Linked DNA regions of Neodiprion lecontei. The protein of the gene in region 1 interacts with the protein of each later gene in a pairwise test. Links are inferred from orthologs where the notes say so. Each region holds a gene or a part of one and is shown in the gene's direction. Other genes may lie near its edges.

Evidence for each region. The genes of interacting proteins can lie anywhere in the genome.
Region 2: the proteins of phosphorylated adapter RNA export protein (region 1) and cytoplasmic dynein 2 light intermediate chain 1 interact in a two-hybrid assay, tested with the Drosophila melanogaster proteins (2 studies listed by BioGRID). The link is inferred for Neodiprion lecontei from reciprocal best matches to the Drosophila melanogaster genes Phax and CG3769.

The regions. Positions count from the first base shown.
Region 1 is NC_060260.1:40,516,777-40,527,980, forward strand, and holds phosphorylated adapter RNA export protein, read left to right. Parts: upstream 1-3,787; 5' UTR 3,788-3,955; coding exon 3,956-4,006; intron 4,007-4,310; coding exon 4,311-4,920; intron 4,921-5,015; coding exon 5,016-5,294; intron 5,295-5,637; coding exon 5,638-5,909; 3' UTR 5,910-7,204; downstream 7,205-11,204. Other genes in the region: NSFL1 cofactor p47, read left to right, coding at 36-165; uncharacterized protein LOC107224896, read right to left, coding at 1,529-2,950; dynein axonemal heavy chain 7-like, read right to left, coding at 10,826-11,204.
Region 2 is NC_060261.1:16,697,562-16,707,926, reverse strand, and holds the start of cytoplasmic dynein 2 light intermediate chain 1, read left to right. Parts: upstream 1-4,366; 5' UTR 4,367-5,348; coding exon 5,349-5,486; exon of another isoform or gene 5,487-5,513; intron 5,514-6,544; exon of another isoform or gene 6,545-6,553; coding exon 6,554-6,655; intron 6,656-10,365. Other genes in the region: uncharacterized protein LOC124292848, read right to left, coding at 438-529.

The DNA.
Region 1 (11,204 bases):
GAATTGTTTTGAAACTTTCCTCAACTTTTTATTAGTATGAGACCCCAGTATGCAGCTAGTAATTTTCGTCTACTGACGTCATATCCAAGCAAAGAGTTGACTGAGGAGAGTAAAACTATTGAAGAAGCTGGACTTAAAAATTCTGCTATAATGCAGCGACTGTAATAGAAAACGTTTGTGAGAAAAAAAAAAAATTGCCCAACTTCATACAACTGTAACTCTTAGTTTAACGAATATACCTTTGATCATTTCCAAATCAGGTTTTGTACAAGCAACTAGCGACTTATTTATACTTTACATAACTGATTTACCAACATCAATATCACATTAATTTATCCAATCATAAGGAAAATCTCAATTTCTTTTTTTGTGGAGAATTTTGTTTAAAGATAATATCATGTTACGCAATGAAAATTAGTCTAGTTACTGATGATTACGGAGGAGCTTTGCATAGCAATCACAGGAGCGTGGATTAGAGTGAGTTGAAGAATGCGTAAATAAATTTGAGAAATTGAATATATGACCTCAAATTTAATAGTTGAAAGGGGTAAGGTTATTGTACAAAAATATCATTGATCACTCATCATTGAGTAGTGTAAAGCCAAAATTCGATTATTTATATTACGTAAAAAATAAAAAAAGAAGTATCAATGTTTCAAATTACAATATGACAACAGTTCATCTCATAAGTCATATTACGTATACAAATCTTTAGTACTTTTGAAAATATAAATAGATAAGCATATCGCAGCAATGTTTGTAAAATCAGAGTGAGTGGTGAGTAAAACATAGCCCATATTATTGTGTATAAAACTTTTCGGGCCTCTTTTGGCACAAATACGCCAATTGTCAAGTTCAAAAAAATTATGTAACTCTCACTCAATGTTTGTGCTATGAATTAACGGATGGTCCAAGAATAGTTTCCATTGATACTTTACCGACTACCTTATAAAATCTATTCAGAGCATAATGGATGAATATATAAAAGTGCGCGAGGGTAGTCATCACCCGAGGGAATAATCTTCAACTTTATTCCCTTGTTACATAACGTACTATATTTTAGAGAATATATATATATCTATACACATTTGCGATATGTTCATTAAGTGTTAGAAATTTTTTGATTAGAAATTATTTCTAACAGTGATATTTTTTATTTCACAGTTACGATTATTCCTTCTTGGCCATTGGAATTTTTTTTTCCTCCACAAGGTGATCAAAATTAGACATGACAAAATGTATGCGTGAAAACTGGAATTTTTCATTGATCTACCAGATAAATTTTTTTAACCCTGAAATTTATATGAAATCGATTGCTTAGAATTTGTTTAGCTTCAACTCAGTTTCGCTTACGAAAATATGGAACATCAACTGGTTTCAAAGGCTGATTGTATGGCCAGTCCTTTTCGGTCTTAGGCGGATATCCATCGATCCGTACAACCATTCAGCATATTTAGGAATCTGTTCCTCAATGGGAATTTCATATTATTTACATTCACCGTATTGTACCCGATAATTAAAAAAATAATCATTTGCTGATTGAGCTTTGTCTGGTCATGTATTGTTTAAAAATTGGCGCATTTATTATATTTTCAGCAAATTTTGAAATTGATCTATCATGCGTATAGCTCATTTCATTTTCGGAATTTGAACAATACTGATAACGATTTACATTGATTAAGTCTGCACCAGGCGAAATATAGCTATCAATATCAATACTATCTGTAATCCAACTTTTGTGTGGTTTGCTAATAGAAACGTGACGATTTTTCATGCTACCCTCGGAAATCTTGCGAGTTTTTTTAAAAATCATTAGTGTGGTGTTTCCAGTTGGATGATAGTCCTCTTGTTGGGTACAAAACAATGATGAATTCAGTCGATAGTGATCACTAGCTAATAAGCCTTTCTCAAAATCTATTAATAACTCTGCCAGAGTATGATGATATTTTAAAACAATGTACTCTTCCCAGTACAAAGTTATGCTATATTTGACTTTATTGTATGTACGATAAAGACAGTCCCTTTCAGCAATTTCCCCAGAAATGCCTGGAGAAATTCTAGTATAGGGAAAATTCCATGGTACGACAGTGAATGTGACGTTAAGCCCTTGGCTATTCATTATTTGTTTCATAGTATCTGTAAATATACTTGGAATACCGTAATCGTAAACAATAAAATGATCAACTCCGATCATTTGATGAAAACTTAAGAAGTTCATCATGTCCGTACGAGAAATAGATCTGTTTAATGGCGGAGCTATGCATATGGCTATATCATTGGTTATCAGGTTATGTGGTAAATTTTGCACACTTAAAATTGGATATTCACTTTCAGATACGTCCCTTTTATTAAAAAAGGACACTCCTTCAGGGATAGCAGGCTGAGAGTACTCACAGACAAACTGGTACGCAGCATACTCTAAATTTTTCCTAGATTGGCTTTTAAGTAAGTTGCTAATTCTTGAATGTTTGAATATCCCCAGAACATGCTGTTCTTTCCCTTGGATAAACACATGGCAATTTATGTCTGGAATGATATATGTTTTCCCAAAGGCGATCCCTCGGACTTCATTTATGTTTGCATGGTAAGCTGCGTAAACAAACAAGTCATTGTTTATTCTTTGCCAAGATGGTAGTGGTACGTCAAAGTGGAGATGGAGATCATCGGAGATATCAATCTCTCCTAAGCGGTTGACGTCAGGTTCCTTAACTCCGGGCTTACCAAAGAAACTTATCACTTCTAGGACGTATCGCAGTTTGTTATATTCATGCCTGTAGAATAGCAATGATACCACACTCACCAGAGCTGTGATAATTAATGCTGCTTGATAATATTTCCTCATGCTGCTGTTATTGGGGCGTTTTGTTATTGTTATAGTCGTTGCAGTACGTGTACTACCACAATTATGTCTTAGATGGGCCTGTGCGATATCAAACCCCTCTTTTATCATACTAATCTGGTTATCACCCTGGCAAAGAAAATGTATTATGTAGGTAATCAATTGTTTACTTTTGTAAGTCTTTTTATCGTAAACAATGTGCGAATATGATAACGTGTGACAAATATTTCAAAGCATACCTGATCTAAACAGCTCTTTGGTTTGTTCGTTCTTCAATTAGGAATAGAAGAATCTGCATGGCAAATAAATTCCTATGGATATTACTGAATCGTGTGTTTTCTATGAACGTAGGTCAATGGAATTGATCTATTCACAATTCATTTCATACCGGTAAAAATAGAAAGTGAAATAAATTAGAAGAAACATAGACGCGCCGTAACATTTTTTCTGTGGTACAGTTGTGGAGATTTTGAGATTGGCATTCCAGTCTGGTTATGATGACAGTAATCAAGACTGACATCTGAGTATACGTGATGGTAACATTCGTTCTTGATGTCTTTACATACCGATAGTTCATCGACTCAAGTTGCGCCACGCAGAGGGCACTGCTTGACGATGAATTTATGTTGTCTATTTTCGATAGATTGGATCGGTTAGATTCACTTCCTCAGATTCGATGGTCATGGATTGTGTTATGTTTATTGAGATTGAGTTTGTTTTGCGTTCGGCCGACTGTGGCGCTGCAGGTTTCTCTGTGTGCCAACATAACTGTTTAGTGTAAAAAATTAGCCGTCTCAGATTCATTGTCCCTAGTGTACATACATACCGATACATACCCACACCATCCAACTTATCACCATCATGGCGCATGCGTATGGATACTCCATTTGTAACATTGTGTATTGGATGCATTAAATATATGTATATGTATACATACATCCATACACACATCGGAATAGCATCATACTATCGCAGCGCAGTAAATGAACGATATGCCTTAAATGCTTGGTGAAATCGGATGAGTTGAAAATTATTTTACTTCTGAAGAGAAAACAAAAATCATAATTACTCATATCTCCACCGTGGGCATTGCGTTGAAACAAGTTTCTAGCGAGTATGGAAACTGAACCGGTAGAACTTGAAGATGGAGAAGTTGTGGATGACGAGGTTAAACATTTTACGTTTGACAGAAAGCTAACCTTCGTTGATATCTTTACTCAATTCTGCATTTATATCTACAGGAATAAGTTAATACGGTTGATTTGAGTCGCGATTGTTACACAACCATTGCATTCGATCACAAACATCGATGAGTTTTATGACAGAATCCGCGTTTACCAATATCCACTTTTTTTTTAGCATTTCAGTTTTTGGAAAGACTGATATGTTTCATTAAAGTGTAAAAATTCTGTAAGGACTCTTTACAAAGCCTAGTATATCCATAAATTTTACATCATTTACCTTTGTACAGGTTGTCGATGCGTTCGAGTACAATGTTTTAGAGCGGCCTCATGTTGCCCCCAGACCTGAGGATACATCGTCCAAACTACATTACAGTGATGAATCAGATGAGCCCACGGAATCTGAAAGTGATTCGGACTCAGATTCGGCACATACTTGTTCCAAGAAGCCAAAGATGAAGATAAAACGGTGGAAGAATAGAGAGGTAGAGAAAAAAGAAGCTCAAGACAAGTACAAGGTGTGGTGTATGCAGGTTCAGGAAGAAGCACTCACGGAGGAACTTGTATCATGCGGGGTCACTAAGCGAGATTATCAGGGTAGAAATGTCGAATTCTATGACTTCACTGTTCGATATTCCCCCAATGAACAACAGACACCAGCTGAACTTAGTTCGGATACTGAGAAAGATGCTCCACCTAGGATTAACAACAAAAGGACAAATGAGGATAGGACAAACCTTAAGTTAAGGCTTGGTAAACGAAGAAATTCTATGGAAATTGATGGGCAGCGAGGAGTTGCGAGAAAAATACTTGACTTGCGCACCACTGCCGATTCTGATGACGGAGACGTAGCTGCAGATATAGCGGAAAAGCTGTGCGAAAAGAAAGATGATCTCATAAGTAAGCAAGAGTGTGAATGTCTTTTTATTCGTAGTTATTCCTGTTAAGGGTAAAGTTATCATCATCTACACTGTGATGTTGATTTCAATTTTCAGAAAGAGCAGTGAGTATAATAGGAAAAGAAAAAGCCATAGATTTCTTCGAACAAACTAAAAAAATTGAGGAAGACGGGGGAATGATGATAGTGAACGGATCACGTAGGAGGACTCCGGGAGGAGTTTTTTTGTTACTATTGAAGCAAGATGATCACATTCCTCAGGAAAAAATACGAGCAATTTTCCAAGAGGACCGTAAACAGACTGTCGAACAGAGAAAGCAGGCGCAAGCTTCCAGCAGGAGACGGAAAACACAGGAACTAATGCGGAGTCTCGAAAGTAATTCAAAATATAACATATTATGCAAATCATTTCATATAATTTATACCTCTAGATTACTATACAGTGAAACTTCTTTTAACGCACACCTCCCAACAAGGATTCTTCTTTACAACGGACAGTATAAAAATCTCTAGAAGCAGAATTTACACGCTAATATTGTTCTGAATAGTGGACACTCTTCAATAACGGACAATATGTTTAGTTCCGAAGATGTCCACTATTCGGAAATTTCACTTACGCTCTTTTTTCCGAAATCTTACTGTAACATTTACAATGTAAAGCTAATCTTCGCACTTATTGATTCCTTCATAATCTAAAACATTTCTGGACCAAATTGTAGATGGCTCTGAAAAGGATCTTCCAGCCCTACTAACGCGTGCCGAGCTCTCAACGAGGCAGATCGCGGAGGAAGCGCGATTGAGGAGAGGGGAGGGTCGTGATAGAGAAAGAACTCCGCCAGACTCTGACCGTCCAGTGACAAATCCACCACCCAGTCCCGTAACAGATGATCCCGACCACACACCTCCGTCTTCACGTAGACAAGTTCAGGATTACGCAGCCGATGACTTCCTTGAGATTGGGGTGGATGTCGACAGCATGGAGTTGTTTTAAAATCTACGAACAAGTTTATATTACGCGAGCGTATCGATATTATCAATTATTAGCTCTATTTTAGAGCTGGAAAGTTGTCTCAAACTTTACAGAGGCTGCTGATGTGTTTTTTTATACGGAAATTTACTGCATTAGGACAGTACAGGTATGCATACAGATTGGTGACTGAAATAATTACTTGGCTATTGCCTGAAGGTAATTACGATCAGTGAAGAGAGAACAGTACAAGTACCAAATAAACAATGTCGTTCTCTTTTGTTATTCACGTTTTTTTTGCAATTGATATAACTATAAATATCTGTGCATGAATCAAAAATAGCTAAAATAATTTGAAAAAGCTGCATTCACTTCTCCTATCCGTTGGATGAAATCCGCCTTTAAAGATCTCCGAACGGGCATAAAATATTCTCTTTTAGTTTTGTCAGATTCGTGTTGTTTGGCACGTTTTACGTGTAGTAACGTGGTATAGTTTATGCTTAATCGAATTTTATGTAAATTCACACTGTGTTTATCCTTCGCGTTTGTTTCTACCCGGTTTCTGAGTGGACGCCAAACAGATTTTAATGTTTCTATATAGTTGAAAGGAAACAGGAACATGATTGCAAGATGCCTATATCGTCGGGGCGCAGCCTCTGTTACCGAATTAAGCCAATAAATTTATGTACAGGAAGTTACTTTTTCAGGCGACTTCTTAGATAACATGTAATCATAATGTATGAAATATAAGAGATCGAACTAAGTCTAAGCGCCGATATTCTGAAACGAAAAATTCATTTTGTAATATATAATCTCCTCGGTAAGATCCGAGAGCATTTTGTGTGTTTTATTAATGCTATACTGAATCAACCCAGCAACATATTTCTATGGAAACGGTTCTAAGTCGATTCCTCAATTTTGTCACTCAATATTCGATTAAGGAATTTTTTTTAATTTTAATTCCGGCAAATAATCAACGAACAATTTAAGTATACTGACTTTGATCCCAGTCCATATTTGGATAAAAATAATTGAACAAATGTTTTTGATGTTTGCAATATTTTATTTGTGGTTTATTTGTTGTCATTTTCTATTCGGGAAAAAATCTTCGTAGCTACAAATGTTATCTTATTCCTATGGGCTTATGCCATTTCTCAAAAAGACGAAAGCTTATAAAAGAATAGGGACCGTTTTGAGAATTAACATTAATATGTCAAACCCGTCATGGAGTGGAGTTTTTTTACGGTTATGAAAATGACCCGAGGCTGTGATATCGTAATTTACTGACATCGAGAATAAACGGATATTGAATGCATGTATATAGCACCGAGGGATTGGAGATTGTTTTTTTTTCCTCTTTAATAACGCTAATTTACTAATACTCAATACCTACTACTGAAAGTAAATTACTATCATGCCCTCCGGTGACTTTATACATATATACCTATGGCCTTCGGAAATTGTCTTCAATACTGGTTTAAGACTGTATCAGACTTCTTAACGTCCATCATTCCAGGTTTCAATATGAGTTTTTTGAACATCATTAGACGGTTTCCGCGTAGACTTTATGAAGTATGTTTTAATCATTTTTAAATTTCGCCTTCCTTTCTGTTTAATTTGTTAATCGCATTTGTCAAATTAAATATTACTTTTCTGTTCCGTCTCTATTTTTTCATTATTTCGCATAGCTGAAGATTCATATGCCGAAAGGACTATCCATTTCTTAAAATTTTCAAGTCGACATTTTGATACGGATTCATTTCTTCGGTAAATCGAACTTTCGCGATTTCGTCAGTTTCCTGAAATTTGTGTCGTTCCTAGAAGACAATCCGCGTGTAATCGTTCCTTTGCATGTATACATACCGAGACAACGAATCTGTGATCAACTCATGGAATCAACTAAATTTACGATTTCTTAACGCCAAATAGAAATTCAGTTAGTTCAATTAAACATTAGTTGATGTAATTAAAAAATAGTTTAAGTAAAAATGTCATCGATTGATGAAGTGATGTTTAGTTGCAGTGACTAAATTTTTTAGCGGCCCTTCATCGCCGATTTGCTAATTGATTCAATCGATTCTTTTTCTCGGTGTATGAACATACATACATATTTTTTATACGCCGCGCTATATTATACTGGTCTACAGTGACGAGAGGGTTGTTATTCGCAGATGGATATGTGACGACACAAGATTCGACATTGGTTTAATATACTTACGAAGCAGGAAGCATTCAACGATCTGAAGCGGAAATCTATTTCCACTATTCGTGTTCGTGGTTTATTAAAGTAAGGGTCTCAGTTAATGAGCTTGTCTCAATTATTGACATTTTTTGAATGTGTCCGTTTGATCTTTAGTTCTAAAATTACTAAAAAATGAATTCGTAGTGCCTAACCCTCTAGCGATTGGTTGTAATCATCGAGAAATTCACAATTTGTGTTGTAAATTTATAATTTTGGAAAATAAACGGGTCAATAATTGGGTCTAAACGTGTGAATAACTGGTACACTTACCTTATGCTTATTTAGCTTTTTTCTCTCATTAAGATCAGTTTAATGAGCTTTAAGGATTATTCTTGGTGTACGAAAAGATGCGTGACTTCTTGTGCGTCGCACAACATGACAATGCTTCTTCTCTTCAGAATTTCGACAATCCGTTTCGTCACGACTTATCATCTATCGCGAATTTGAATGATGTTCAGTTCCCCGGCCATATTTCGCCAGCTACGAGTCTTACACACTCTACTGAAATATCTGTCACATTTCAGTGTATTTGATGAATTTTCATTCCACGTTACATCTACTCGTTACGGTTTTATTATCCGTGTCATAACTTATACTGGCATGTTTCGTGATATATTTCGTTGACTTAAGAATGATTTCACTTTTCACCGCGTTGTATAGCACTTCTCCACTTAGGCATAACGCTATTATAACATGTACTTGCGATATATCCTGTCACAATTTGATCACGTTTAAAATTTCGCGTATTGTGCTGTATTGAGAAGTAGGAAACTTTAACGACGTATACGGCAAACTAATATTGCTGAAACGTCTTACATCAGAAACATAATTTCACGATTTCCAATGTATCAGCCAGATTTCCCAAATCAATCAATATTATGTTACAATAGCGTTGACACATGGCAATCGTTGCCATCAAACAGAAAGGACGACCGCATTTTGTCCTTGATGGTAAAAATATGACCACGATTGCGCATTATCTATGAAGAACGTTCTATGAATATAACTTGCTCGGTCGCGTAATGCAGTTTCAAAATTTTGCTGCGCATGAAGTAATCGTACGGTTAGGTATTTTCACGATCAGTTTTGTATGTATAAAAGTAGAATATTGTGGAAATGTTGCTGCAATCTGTCTGTAATGTATTTTGCACGCCAGATAAATATCAGAATATTTCACTGCAATCTTACCGAAGTATTACGAAGATAATGAGTCCTGCATACAGTTAAGGATTTACAGGTAAAGTTTTTAGTTTCTCGCTCTCGAAGAAAAATATTGGTATAGTTCTTAATGACATGTTTAATAACAATATACAGAAATTCGATGACCAAGTTAAATTATAAAAAACCCTACATGTGCTAAGGTTTAAAGTGCGTAACAAGAACGGTGGAAAGAACCATTACGTGTATTAAGAACATTTAAAAGCAATAGCGAAGAGCGGAGGAGAAGGTGAGAGGCCGTGGTTTTTCCTCGAAATGTAGAACTTATTGTGAACTGAACAGTTATCGGAAAGTTTTCCCAAGCGCAACTATCAATTACTTGAATCCGAAAATACCTTCGGGCTATCTGTGCGAGTTAAGTGGCTGCTAGTGGCAGAAGGAACGGGATATTGATGATGACAGAAGATATATAAACCAGGAGTTATTCACAATCGAAGACAGTCCAACTTTGGCGCTGCAGAAACGGGCTGGTTGATGTTTACAACTGACATCGCTTGTCCAAAATATAAAGAAGTAACATCCAGAAAAACTTGTTCCGAATTTACATATATATTTCAATATCAGAAAATGGCGAAGTTTGAAAAGGTTTGTGCCTTCGTTATTGTACTTTTCGGAGTCTTATCCATCTGCCAGTGCGCTGGTGTCGATGATCTATTAAACGATTCAACGTTAGTCAGAAAGCAGCTGAACTGTGTGTTGGACAAAGGACCGTGCGATGCGATTGGAGTCTCTGTAAAAGGTAACTGCTAAATTAAAGTAACAATTTTGCCGGAATTTGGAAAATCAGGTGCAATTATAGTCCAGCTGACTGTAATTGTCAAACGTCATGACTGTGAATTGACTGGATCATTCCGTATCCTTGCACAATCTGTAGGTGTTTTGTAATAATTTTACGAAAGTGCATCAGTTGAAACAAAAGAAATCGCGCAGATGGTTGACTGTAGAATAATAATAGTTCCTCGTAAATGCGAATATCTAGCCCGACTTTCAAACATTTTTTTATTTTGTGTGACAATAAATTTTGATAATTACGTAAACTGTTTTTATTTTTTAACAGCTTCAATCAGGGAAGTATTAATCAACAATTGCCGCAATTGTAACCAACAACAGGCAGCGAATGCACGTAGAGTTATGGAGTTTGTGAGGACGAGGTACCCGGCTGAATGGAACGAAATAAGTCGCAAGTACGTGGGAAGCGCCAGGGGATGATTTAATTCGAACAAAATTATTGTAAGCTCTGTTAATAAAAACTTGTCAATTCAATAAAAAAAATATAATGTCTGTTATCGTATGAATCGATATATTATGTTACTATTAATTCCTGATTAGTTTTTCTCTGATTTGCATTTCCACTCATTTGTTTTCACCTACCGCCTTGTTACGTCGACTGGCGACGCTTATTCGAACGTACCAGTAAAATATTCTTATCCTTTAACGTCGTGCTTCAGTCGAATCTCCATGATTTGGTGATATTCCGTGACTATTGTTCGTCGCGTTGACAGTAAAGTACAGCTCGCCTGCTTAGCCAGAATTCAATCGGTCTGTCCGTATCGAGATTAACGTTAAGTAGATAATTATTCATACGACCCATCGAGTCAAACGCGTAAATATCTTTGACAACGGATGTGTAAAGTGGACATTCGTATTTTTCCGATTGGCTGATCAAGTCCGTTAGTCTGTAGCGCAGTATCGGCATTCGATTCCACAATACCTTTGGCGAGCTTTCGACGAGCACCATCCGTTCAAGATCCCATCTGGCACTTGTCAGGAACAATCCGCTGATCAAGACTCCATCGATGGTTGACTGAATCGGCAAGTCTTCCGGATGGTATGTCTGAAGAACTTCAAAGTCAAATCGA
Region 2 (10,365 bases), on another chromosome or scaffold:
TGAGAAATCAGGTACCTGCATTAAACATTTTTCAATTTGTATTAGCGAAGACGTGAAAAAAGAAACTTAGCTTTTTTTTTACACTTTTCTTACACTTATTTTACACCTGCTACAACACAGGTGTTTAAATTTAATTAACGCACTAAGAAAAAGCCTTAACTAATTACTTTTAAGGGTGAAAATTAAAAACGTACATAAAAATAGAGCGAGCAATCTTTGATATATCATGGCTTTAAATCTGTAAATGACTGCAGGCACTGTTACTAAACATGTTACAAAAAAATCGCGTCCGATATTCTGATATTAAAGTAGCGAAAAGGTGAAAAAATTTACCTACTACATGCATCCAAACGACATTCCGTAACATATTATGAATGTAAATAAAGTTCATCTTGTATAAGGTGCCTCAGACTGATCCGATAATTAGTGATACATACCTGTGAATTATTGTTCGCTTCTCAATTACACCGCGAAGTTTGTAGTCGAAGGACCAAAATATCAACAAGAAATTAATACTAGTTCTACACATTTCTTCGTGTTATTTCAGCATTGAAATTTACCTGGAAACGTCAGGGATATGATCAAAAATTAAAAATTTAAAGTGTAGTGTATACAATTTTTCAGAAAACTTCACTGCGATACGATTAGTGAATTTATTATTATTATTTGGTATCTTTGGGTAGGAGAAATAGAAAAACATTTTTTTTTTTTCTTTTTAATTAGTAGGAATTTTAGAAATATAACTTTCTAACAACACTGATTGTTTTGACTTATAAATTTCTGTTAGAAAATATCTCATGTAATGTAATATCGTGGATTTTGCATTTAGAATATTAATCCTTACGCTGGTGTCTCACTGGGGTCGCTGGAGACCCCATGTCAAAAATCATTGCCTGGAAACGGAGATATCGATTGAAAGGCCTTGAAAAAATTCTGGGATACTCTTTGACTATTACGTTTCAAGGAAGATTATATGAATTTAGCAAAACGAAATTATGAATATGCAAAAAAAAAAATCATAAATCAACAATGTACCAAAAAATTAATTATTCTACTCAGAAAATCATAGCTGACTGAATTTTCACTATTTTGAGCTGAAAATTTACTCAGTATTTTTCTAGACAGAGATAATCAAGAAAAAAAATATGAAGATACTTGCACGATGAAAAATAAGTATCCATTTGAGTGAGTGAAATTGAATTCTTGGGAAAAGAATGAACTAATGACTTTTATGATATTACATTGTTTATCTTGGATCAAATCAGATTATTTTTGATGTTTTTCACATAGAATATACGGTGAAGATGCAACGGGGTCATTTTGACCCCGGTGTGCAGCGTAAGGGTTAATACAATAGCTTAATAAACCGGTAGACAATTTTGATATCTAAGTCGAAAGTACCTAAAATTCATGATATTTGAATGAAAATTGTGAAATGATTATCCATTTATTTTACTCAAAACTGGTTTGACTAATCATATATAGTTTTTTTTTTTTTTTAATTTCTTACACAGATATATTTAAATTACATGAGATCAGAAGATATATGTAAGAATTTGAAATGTTTAATTTTGGTTCGGCGTGGTCTGAATAGTTGATTTACTGTCGCACCCATTTTTTTTTTTTTTTTTTTTTTTTTGCGATCGATTTTGAATTTGTTCGTAATTTGTTTTTTTTTTTTTTTGCTAATGTACGGTTTTCTATTTAAAAATTTTCAGTGCAATTTTTGAATACACATTATCAAGTCTTTATGAATTACACATTAAGTGGCATCAATAATTACTTGGTACTATTTTAGTTTATCCCACCATTCAATTATTATCACAATTTTGATTCTGCTTTATCGTTATACAATTTCTACTTAAAGATGGTACAACTTGTATTTTCTCGTGTAATTAGGAATAATATTCAATTCTTTAAATGGAAGTGTTTTTTTTTTTTTTTTTTGTGGAAAATGTAGGTACATTTCAAAATAGCATCAAGGTGGATGGGTCTAGTTAATATGCGATAAAAATTGTATATTCGAACAATTTTGCATATTGTTATCGCTCTGCGATACGAAATATTGAAATTTAAACAATTTATAAAATATTTTGTTTAAGTTTGTCAACGTACTTGTTATACTATAGTTTACATATTTGAATTATTCTTAACATGCATGTTGACCGTGAAATCAAACTTATTGTCTATGCAAAAAGCCTCCATCTTGAGAAACGTGCACGTATGCAAACAGTATAAATATTAATGTAAAAAATGTATATACTTACTTCCATATTGTTATTAGGGTGTTTTTTTATGGAGCAACATTTTTTTTCGCTCCCAAATGAAAAACTAATACTTAATAAAAATAAAAAATAAAAATGCAGTAGGTTATCCTTCAAATTCAATTTTGAAAGGTGGCTCGGAATTTCAAATTTTTCCATTTGATTAACATTGTAAAGATTTCACTAATTGTTTAAAAAAAATTTACCATTCAGACGCATTTCATTATACGAACTTAATCCTCGAAGCATTTTTAGAGGGTAGAATTTTCTTCAAAAGCGTTAAACGTTAAAACCTCGAAAGTTCATTTTATATAAGAATTCATGTTTAAACTTCTTTAGTGGCTGAACTATCGATTTAACAATAAAAATTCTACACACGTTTATCCATAGAGTTTAATTCTCTACAAAATGTTTCTAGGTAGGATTAAGTCTTTATTGTTAAAAGCGGTTAAGTCGTGACAATGTAAGAAAAACTAAAATTGCATAAGTAATGTCTGTCTATCCTCGTAAATTTTCTTTCTATATATCAACAAGTTTGACTGATAGGAGCGGAAAACATGTTGCTTCAAAAAAAAGCACCCTAATTGTTAAGTAATTTTAAGCGACTATTAACGAACAGTGGAAATACTGCCTGAGCATTCCAATGTTGTGTTTGTCTAGTCCATCTTGTACATAACCGATTGAGCGATATCGTTATTGATAGTATGATAAAAATACTGAAAGAATTATGCGTTACACTTACTTACACACGTAACGTTGGTGTAGACACTTAAAAAATGACTTTAAGAATATACATAATATATAGTAAACACATGTTCTGTAAGATACAAGCTTTTAATAATATTGCAATCATGTTGCCGTTGCTGTCGCCGCATTGTGACAAGCCATATGGAGTCTGTTCATTCACCGGAAGACAATTTTCTTCGTTATTTATTATTCAATAAACAATTGAGAAGCATTGACTCGTCGTGTTACCCTCAATAATGCAGGGTATTGATTGCAGCCATCCAACTATTTACATTTTCATGGCAATGCGACCGTATAGAGTTCGGATGTTGTAATAACGTATTACATGTAAAACCTGTCGAAAGCTGCACTTGGCTGCATTTCCAAGGCCAATTCACCGTTTCACTACAGTGTCTTGGTATTGTTACTGCAACTTCTTCAATCTGATTATACACTATGAAAATAAATATAGCTTACAGTTATTATAAAAATATAAATAATTATTTCTGTCTCAAACATTGAAATTTTTGTCGGTGAGAGGTTAACCACCCTTGAAACCTGGTTTATGCCACTCGTGAGATCATCTGAAATCATTTCAATTCTCTGAAATCTTCTGAAATCCCGTCAAATCATCTGCGATTACGCAAAATCTTGTGATAGCATCTAAAATTTGTAAAGTATCCGAAGTTCTTCGAATCCCAGAAATCATTTAAAATCTCTAAAGTCTTGTAATCCTTTGAAATCTTTGAAAACACTTGAAATATCTGAAATCCTTCGAAATCTTGTGAAATAATGTGAAATTATCTGAAACCTCTTGAACTCCTCGAATTTCCTAAGATATTCAAAACTGCATTACATAAAATCTCCGAGATCCGGGAAGTCTTGAAATTACCTAATATCTTTGAAATCGCGTAAAATCCTTCGAAATCCTGTGACATTTAGCGAAATCATTGAAATCACATGGAATGCCTCAAATATTCTTAGATCTATTGAAATTTTCTAGAATCTCATCGAAATCATCGGAAATTCTGTGAAATCTTTTAAAGTCCTTGGATACAATATGAGTGGTTGTTCCACCGACCACCTTTCGCTTGTTGGTTCTTTCCTCGTGGATTCCCAAGGCCATGTTTCATACAAATTGCTTATGCGATAGACATGCATATAGTCATTATCGTATACAAAATGTCGCCGACGTTGCGATGCTATGGCAACGCTTTTCGGGCAAACAAAAGCTCAACCTTCGAGCTCGTCGACGGATAGACGTGTCGGATGATTTACTTTCTACTTTTATCAGTATAAACAGTTACGGAATAATTTATCAGCATTTATCATCATGGACGCGACGTGAGTCTTGTAATTGTTACGTCGTATTGATTATTATCCTAAATGCAGTCCGTATATTTACCAATAAATGAGATTACGCGGGTTCTGTATAACTTGTTTTACTTATGAGATTGAAGTTCGTGTTATTACGTGAATTACAATATTTTGCAAGTTCAGATTACCTGAATATAAAGGTAATTGTACCCTTTGCGAGTCGAGATAATTTCTGACAAGTTTTCGTAATTCTAGTGTTATTGAAAATGAAAAAAATCAGTTTTATCTGTTTCCTAAAAATTTCTTTCTTCTCTCAGAAAATGATTCCAATGTTTCATGGTGCAATAACCTTTAAAAATACACAGAAATATCAGAATTCCAATTTTATCAGATCTTCAGTAAAACGAAACATGAGAATCCGATAGAATACATGAGTTCTGATCGAAAACTCGAAAATGTTTCTTGTGATCTGAATTTAAAATAATGCTGAATTTTGCTATAGTGTCCGAAAATATGATTTATTTCTTAGAACTTTCCAAAAAGCAATTATGAAGTTATACATTCATTTTATCACAGGGTTAATTTTTCTTTTTTTGTACCATCATCATTTACGATTTTTTCACGAACTTCGAACCTTTCCGAAGAGATGGAAAATAGCGATATAATTCTTATAAACGACCTTCAACCTCGCGATTAAATTATTCTACGTCAGTTTCCAATTGAATGTATTAAGATCCCTGATGTAAGCGTGGTTAGGACAATATGGCGTCGGAAATTGCAATCAGCTGATCATTTTAAGCAAACATAGGAGATATGAAACCGCAGGAAGCACTGTGCAGCTTGTTGGACTTTCATTTACTGACGTTAAGTCAATGTAGAGTAAAACACATGAGAAAAAACCACTTTCATCATTGAATATGACGCAATTAGTGTTGCATATTTACCGCCGCCAGAAAGCGTAATTCTGAATTCTAGGACCATTATGCCAATATGACACTGCAGCAGCGTTAATATAACTTCACTCGTTATTACGCATGTTTTATGTCTTGTGTTTCGTTTAGAGAGGAAAGTATGAGGGAAATGGCACTCCGACTATCTTTAGAAGATGAAAATAAGCGGAAGACCGATCGTTCGATTACTCACGAACGATCTATTATCATTATAGGAAGCAAAGGAGTGGTAAGTGGTGGAAACAGCAACTTCAAGGTTAGACAAATACCCTCGCGCATGAATAGTCGGGCGAGTTGATATATAATATGAGATACAGTTTTATGGGTGAGTGATCAGACGCCGTGGCATTAGTCAGTAATCGCCTCGACTACCGCAAGAGTTCCCATGGGGCGTAAAATTTGAATGCGAATAAGATTTTGAGTCGAAGTGTATGATTCGCTCGATTTTTGTTGGTCGAATTCTGACTATGTAGAAATTTGAATCCAAGATTAAAAAATAAATTGTACCTCAACTGGTTCACGAGTTATGAATTTTCCAAACATTAATTCATGTTTAAATTTGTGAAATCAACATAACTCTCAGAAAAAAAAAAAAAAAAAAATATAGACGTATTCTTTCTTGTCTTGAATCAATATCGTTTCTTTCTACCGATTTCAAATCAACTACCATTGTGATCATTATGTTTTTATTATTCTCTTTGTTTTCAAAATTTTTTAGAGTTTACCTTTAACAAACAAGCTTGTCCCTACCAGGTGCAAAATTCAGTTCGAGAAATTTTTGTTTAATTTACACACTGCGGTGATTAAGTTTTTTATGAAAAAATTAACAGTCGAAGCAGCAGTAGCCTGGCCTTAAAGCTGATCGACTCATACGGCTCCGTATATTCGTCTATCGATCGGTTTCAACGTCGAGCCCACAACCCTGGATACTATGGATTCAAAGGGGGAAGGGAAAGCATGATGGGGTGCTTTTAAAAACGTTTGAAAAGGCACACCTTCATTGTTTCAAATCGATTATTCCACATTCATTGAGCCAGTGCGGAGTGTAATTAAATTACACGACGTTATGTTAAATTCTTGCCGGAAATTTTCTTACAGACGATTAACAGAAGGAGAAATATGGGTGGCTCGAGAAAAGAGAAAAAATTACCTACAAGTTTTATTTTTACGTATATGATGTGTACTTGAATATTTTTAGTAGGAAATTGCTTATTAACTCTGATCCAAACGCCCATGTTTTGATTGATGTTGTCAAGACGGTGTAATCGAAATTCCATAATGCGATAGTAATTTCAGGGAAAAACTACGATGGTTTACCGGTTTTTGGAAAAAGAAGAATCGCCCAAGGCAACCATTGCTATGGATTATTCGTTCGGACGAAAGGCTGGAAAAAGCTTAGTAAGCATTATAGATACGACAATAACCACAGCAATATAAAAATGCGTCCAAAATAATGATATGCATGCATTTTGTAACAAATATAAGATGCAAGTCATACTCAATATAATCAATTAATAGCCTCAAGCAACGATTTTCCGCAAGGGCTGGCATATCGTATCAGAGTTTTTTCACAGCAAGTTACTCGTATTTCAAAGTAAAATTGAGAAAAATATGATAATCTTTTATTTTGATTAGAAATGTGGTTGTTATAAGGTGTAATGAACCACACCTCGTTGATCGCGACTCATTGAAATTTGCCATGAATTATCTATAATTATGTAAACATTACCAGTTTTTTATGTTCCTAAATTAAAATCACATTATCTCCCATCACAAAAGTTCAAATTTTGCGAAAGAAAGATCAAATCGGGTGTTCAAGAATTGCACGATAGTTACAAATGTATCTGAATATTTACAATTGCAAGCAAGTGGCACAACTTGATAATTAATCACTAAACTCCAAATTAGCAATTGTTGATTTCTATGCTGCCAGGATTATAGCTGTGAAACGATTTGAAAGTTTGATGAGAGGTGTGGCACAAAGTTTGTTTCGAATAATGCCAGTTTTCGACTTTAATTGAACAAATATCGATTGAAACTTACCGCGTACAATAAATCCAAACATGCAGGATAGCAATAAATTTGTATGAAATCTGACGTATTGTCAAAATCTTACACGAACCGAAAACGTTTGGAGTTTTACTGCATGGTCTGCACCGTCTAAATCAACAATTCGAAAAAGAGAAATAAGCGTGTAAAAAATCCTCAGCAATTTTATTTGGCCTGGAGATAGTGAACACGAATAAAAGATTATTTCGGAAATGTAATAGAAATAATTGTGAGTAACTTAGAATAACACAATCTAAGATGCTGACAATCTAAGAAAAGGTTTCATAATCAGAACGTTTAGAATGATTGAAGTCTGTTTTTTTTTTCATTCGATTTCAACGTTTTTGGGCTTACTTTTTTCCCTTATTAAATCCCCATAAATTGTTTTAAAAAACTTTGATAAATCTTGTATTATAGCATAGTTATAGCGCGTAAATGTAATTACTGACGAACATTTGTTGTACCGTACTTACTTACACAACTGTATCTTTTGTCGTGAAGGGTAAGAATTCTCGACCTCGTAGATAATATATTATTGAATCTTGGTGAGCGGTCATAGAAATGTAAAACGTATTTTCGTTAACGTTTCGGCCCGGATATGGGCCCTCCTCAGAACGATTAATTTTTTTATTTAACTGTCAAGGACAAAAAATTTTTTTATAATATAAAAAATATACAATAAGACATTAATTACTATAGACGTAAAACTATTGAAGCTATTCTCTATTGTAGGATAGTGGGTACATATTAAATATCTGTTATGGTTATAAAGTGATAAAACTTAAAGAGTAATTTACCTTTTATAGGAAGGAGGATTAATATACAGTCAGAATCGTAAAATACAATTTGGCGAGCGCAGGTTCTTCAAATAAATGACAATAATCGTTGTCAGCTTCTCCAATTGTTAAAAGTATAGTTGTTAAAAATATGGAAGTAATTAATTAAAAAAACTGTGTATCTTCACTGTCTATAAGTCAATGTATTAAAAAGTTTTAGAGAAAGGGTTTATGGTAGTTGAAATAGTTTAAAACAATGTCCAAACGGTGGTACTGGTATCATTATGATCCTGTTCTCCATGTCCGAACAATTTTTGTTAAACCGTTTGAGTCAACTGGTAAACAACGACTGATGGGAGAATCAAATATGACCAAGAGTGAAGGTGAACAAGTATAAACAATTATAAAAACATGTGGCCTGGGGACAACAAATTTATGTACTTAGTTAAGGTTAAACAATGTGTGCTGTGTGGGAGGTAATCAGCGGTTTGTAAATATTGCTAAGATGTTCAACGTCTTGTTTAAGATTAACGGAATTTGGGTGTCCTACAATATTGCACATTTCTAGTAGTAACCGTTTATAATAATTGGGTTCTTCACAAAGGATGTTTGCATTGTCATAGTTAAAAGTATGTTGTTTTTTGGTCACATGTTTGGTTAGAGCAGTATGTCGATCCTCATTGTCTTGTACATTGCGTTTATGTTCTTTAATTCTAGTGTCTAGATGGCGGCCAGTTTGTTCGATATACACTTGATCGCAATCGTTACAGGGTATTTTGTAAACAACATTCGAACGTTTGCCCATAGGGATCCTATCTTTTCCCGAATTAAAGACAAGTTGTAGGTCTTTTGAATTTTTTCCCACAAACTTGACATTGTATTTGGTAAATAACCTATTCAATGACTCAAAGAGGCCCGATACATATGGGATGGGAATAAATGTAGTGGCTGGTCTATTGTTTTCGCTGCGGAAACAGAGTCAATATTATTGTCTAGTAGGTCCTTGATATGGAAGCGTCTCTTATTTATATGTTTGTGTAAAAGGCCATGTGGATAGTCGTTCCATCTTAAAATATTATATATGAGTGACAAATTTTTTTCATGGAATTCTATATTTGATAGTTTGATGGCTCGGTCAACAAGATTAAAGATGGTACCTATCTTGTATGACATCGGGTGGTGAGAATTAAAATTCAAGTATCTTTGAGACCAAGTTTTCTTGTGGAACCAATCTGTTTTGATTTCAGAGTTGTTATGTATCAGTAGTAAATCCAGGAAATTGATGGCATTATTATTTTCTATTTCGATGGTGAATTGTAATCGTGGATGATATTGGTTGAAAATATTCAGTGTGTAGTCTATTTTTTCTTTAGGGACTGCAGTTGAGATATCGTCAACATATCGGAAATAGAAGGGTAAATCAAAATTTAGATTGCTGATGCATGACCTTTCTAGGTCTTCCATCACCAGATCAGACAGGATTGGAGAGAGAGGGGATCCCATGGGCAACCCGAATTGTTGTGCGTATGTGTCGTTGTTAAATTTAAAGATTGCCGAATCAAAACAAATGTTTAAGGCTTTAACCAGTTCAGTAAGTGGGATTGGAATCTTTTTATCTAGAGAGGCCCAACGGTTTTTTACTGCGAGCATAGCGAGATCTATAGGTACATTAGTAAATAGAGATACCACATCTAGTGATATTAGAATATAATTATCTGGAATAATCAGTTTATTTATTTTTTCAACCAATGTAAAGCTATATTTGACTCTGGAGGTAGGGGGGGTGATATTTGTGGTGAGCCATGAACACTGTTTTAAAAACAACCCGAACATCATGTTTTTAAAAGCAGATAAAGGCAATACGTCAGTAGCCATGCACAGAACACTTACAATAACAAAATGCGACAACAGCTTTCGGACACTAACATCTATAGAATTGCTAGATACGACCTCTGCAATACCCTACAGACTAGGGTGAATAAACTCACCTTCAAATGGTTCAATTCCAAACTAATAAACAAAAGCATACACAGAAGCATCGCTACCTATAACAGTGTTCCCCCACGTGCATATGGGCTCCCTAAAATCCATAATGAAGGAAGCCCACTACGAATTATAGTTTCTTTTGTTAATAGCCCGACTTACGCATTATCTAACCTAATTAATTCATGGCTCACCACAAATATCACCCCCCTACCTCCAGAGTCAAAGATAGCTTTACATTGGTTGAAAAAATAAATAAACTGATTATTCCAGATAATTATATTCTAATATCACTAGATG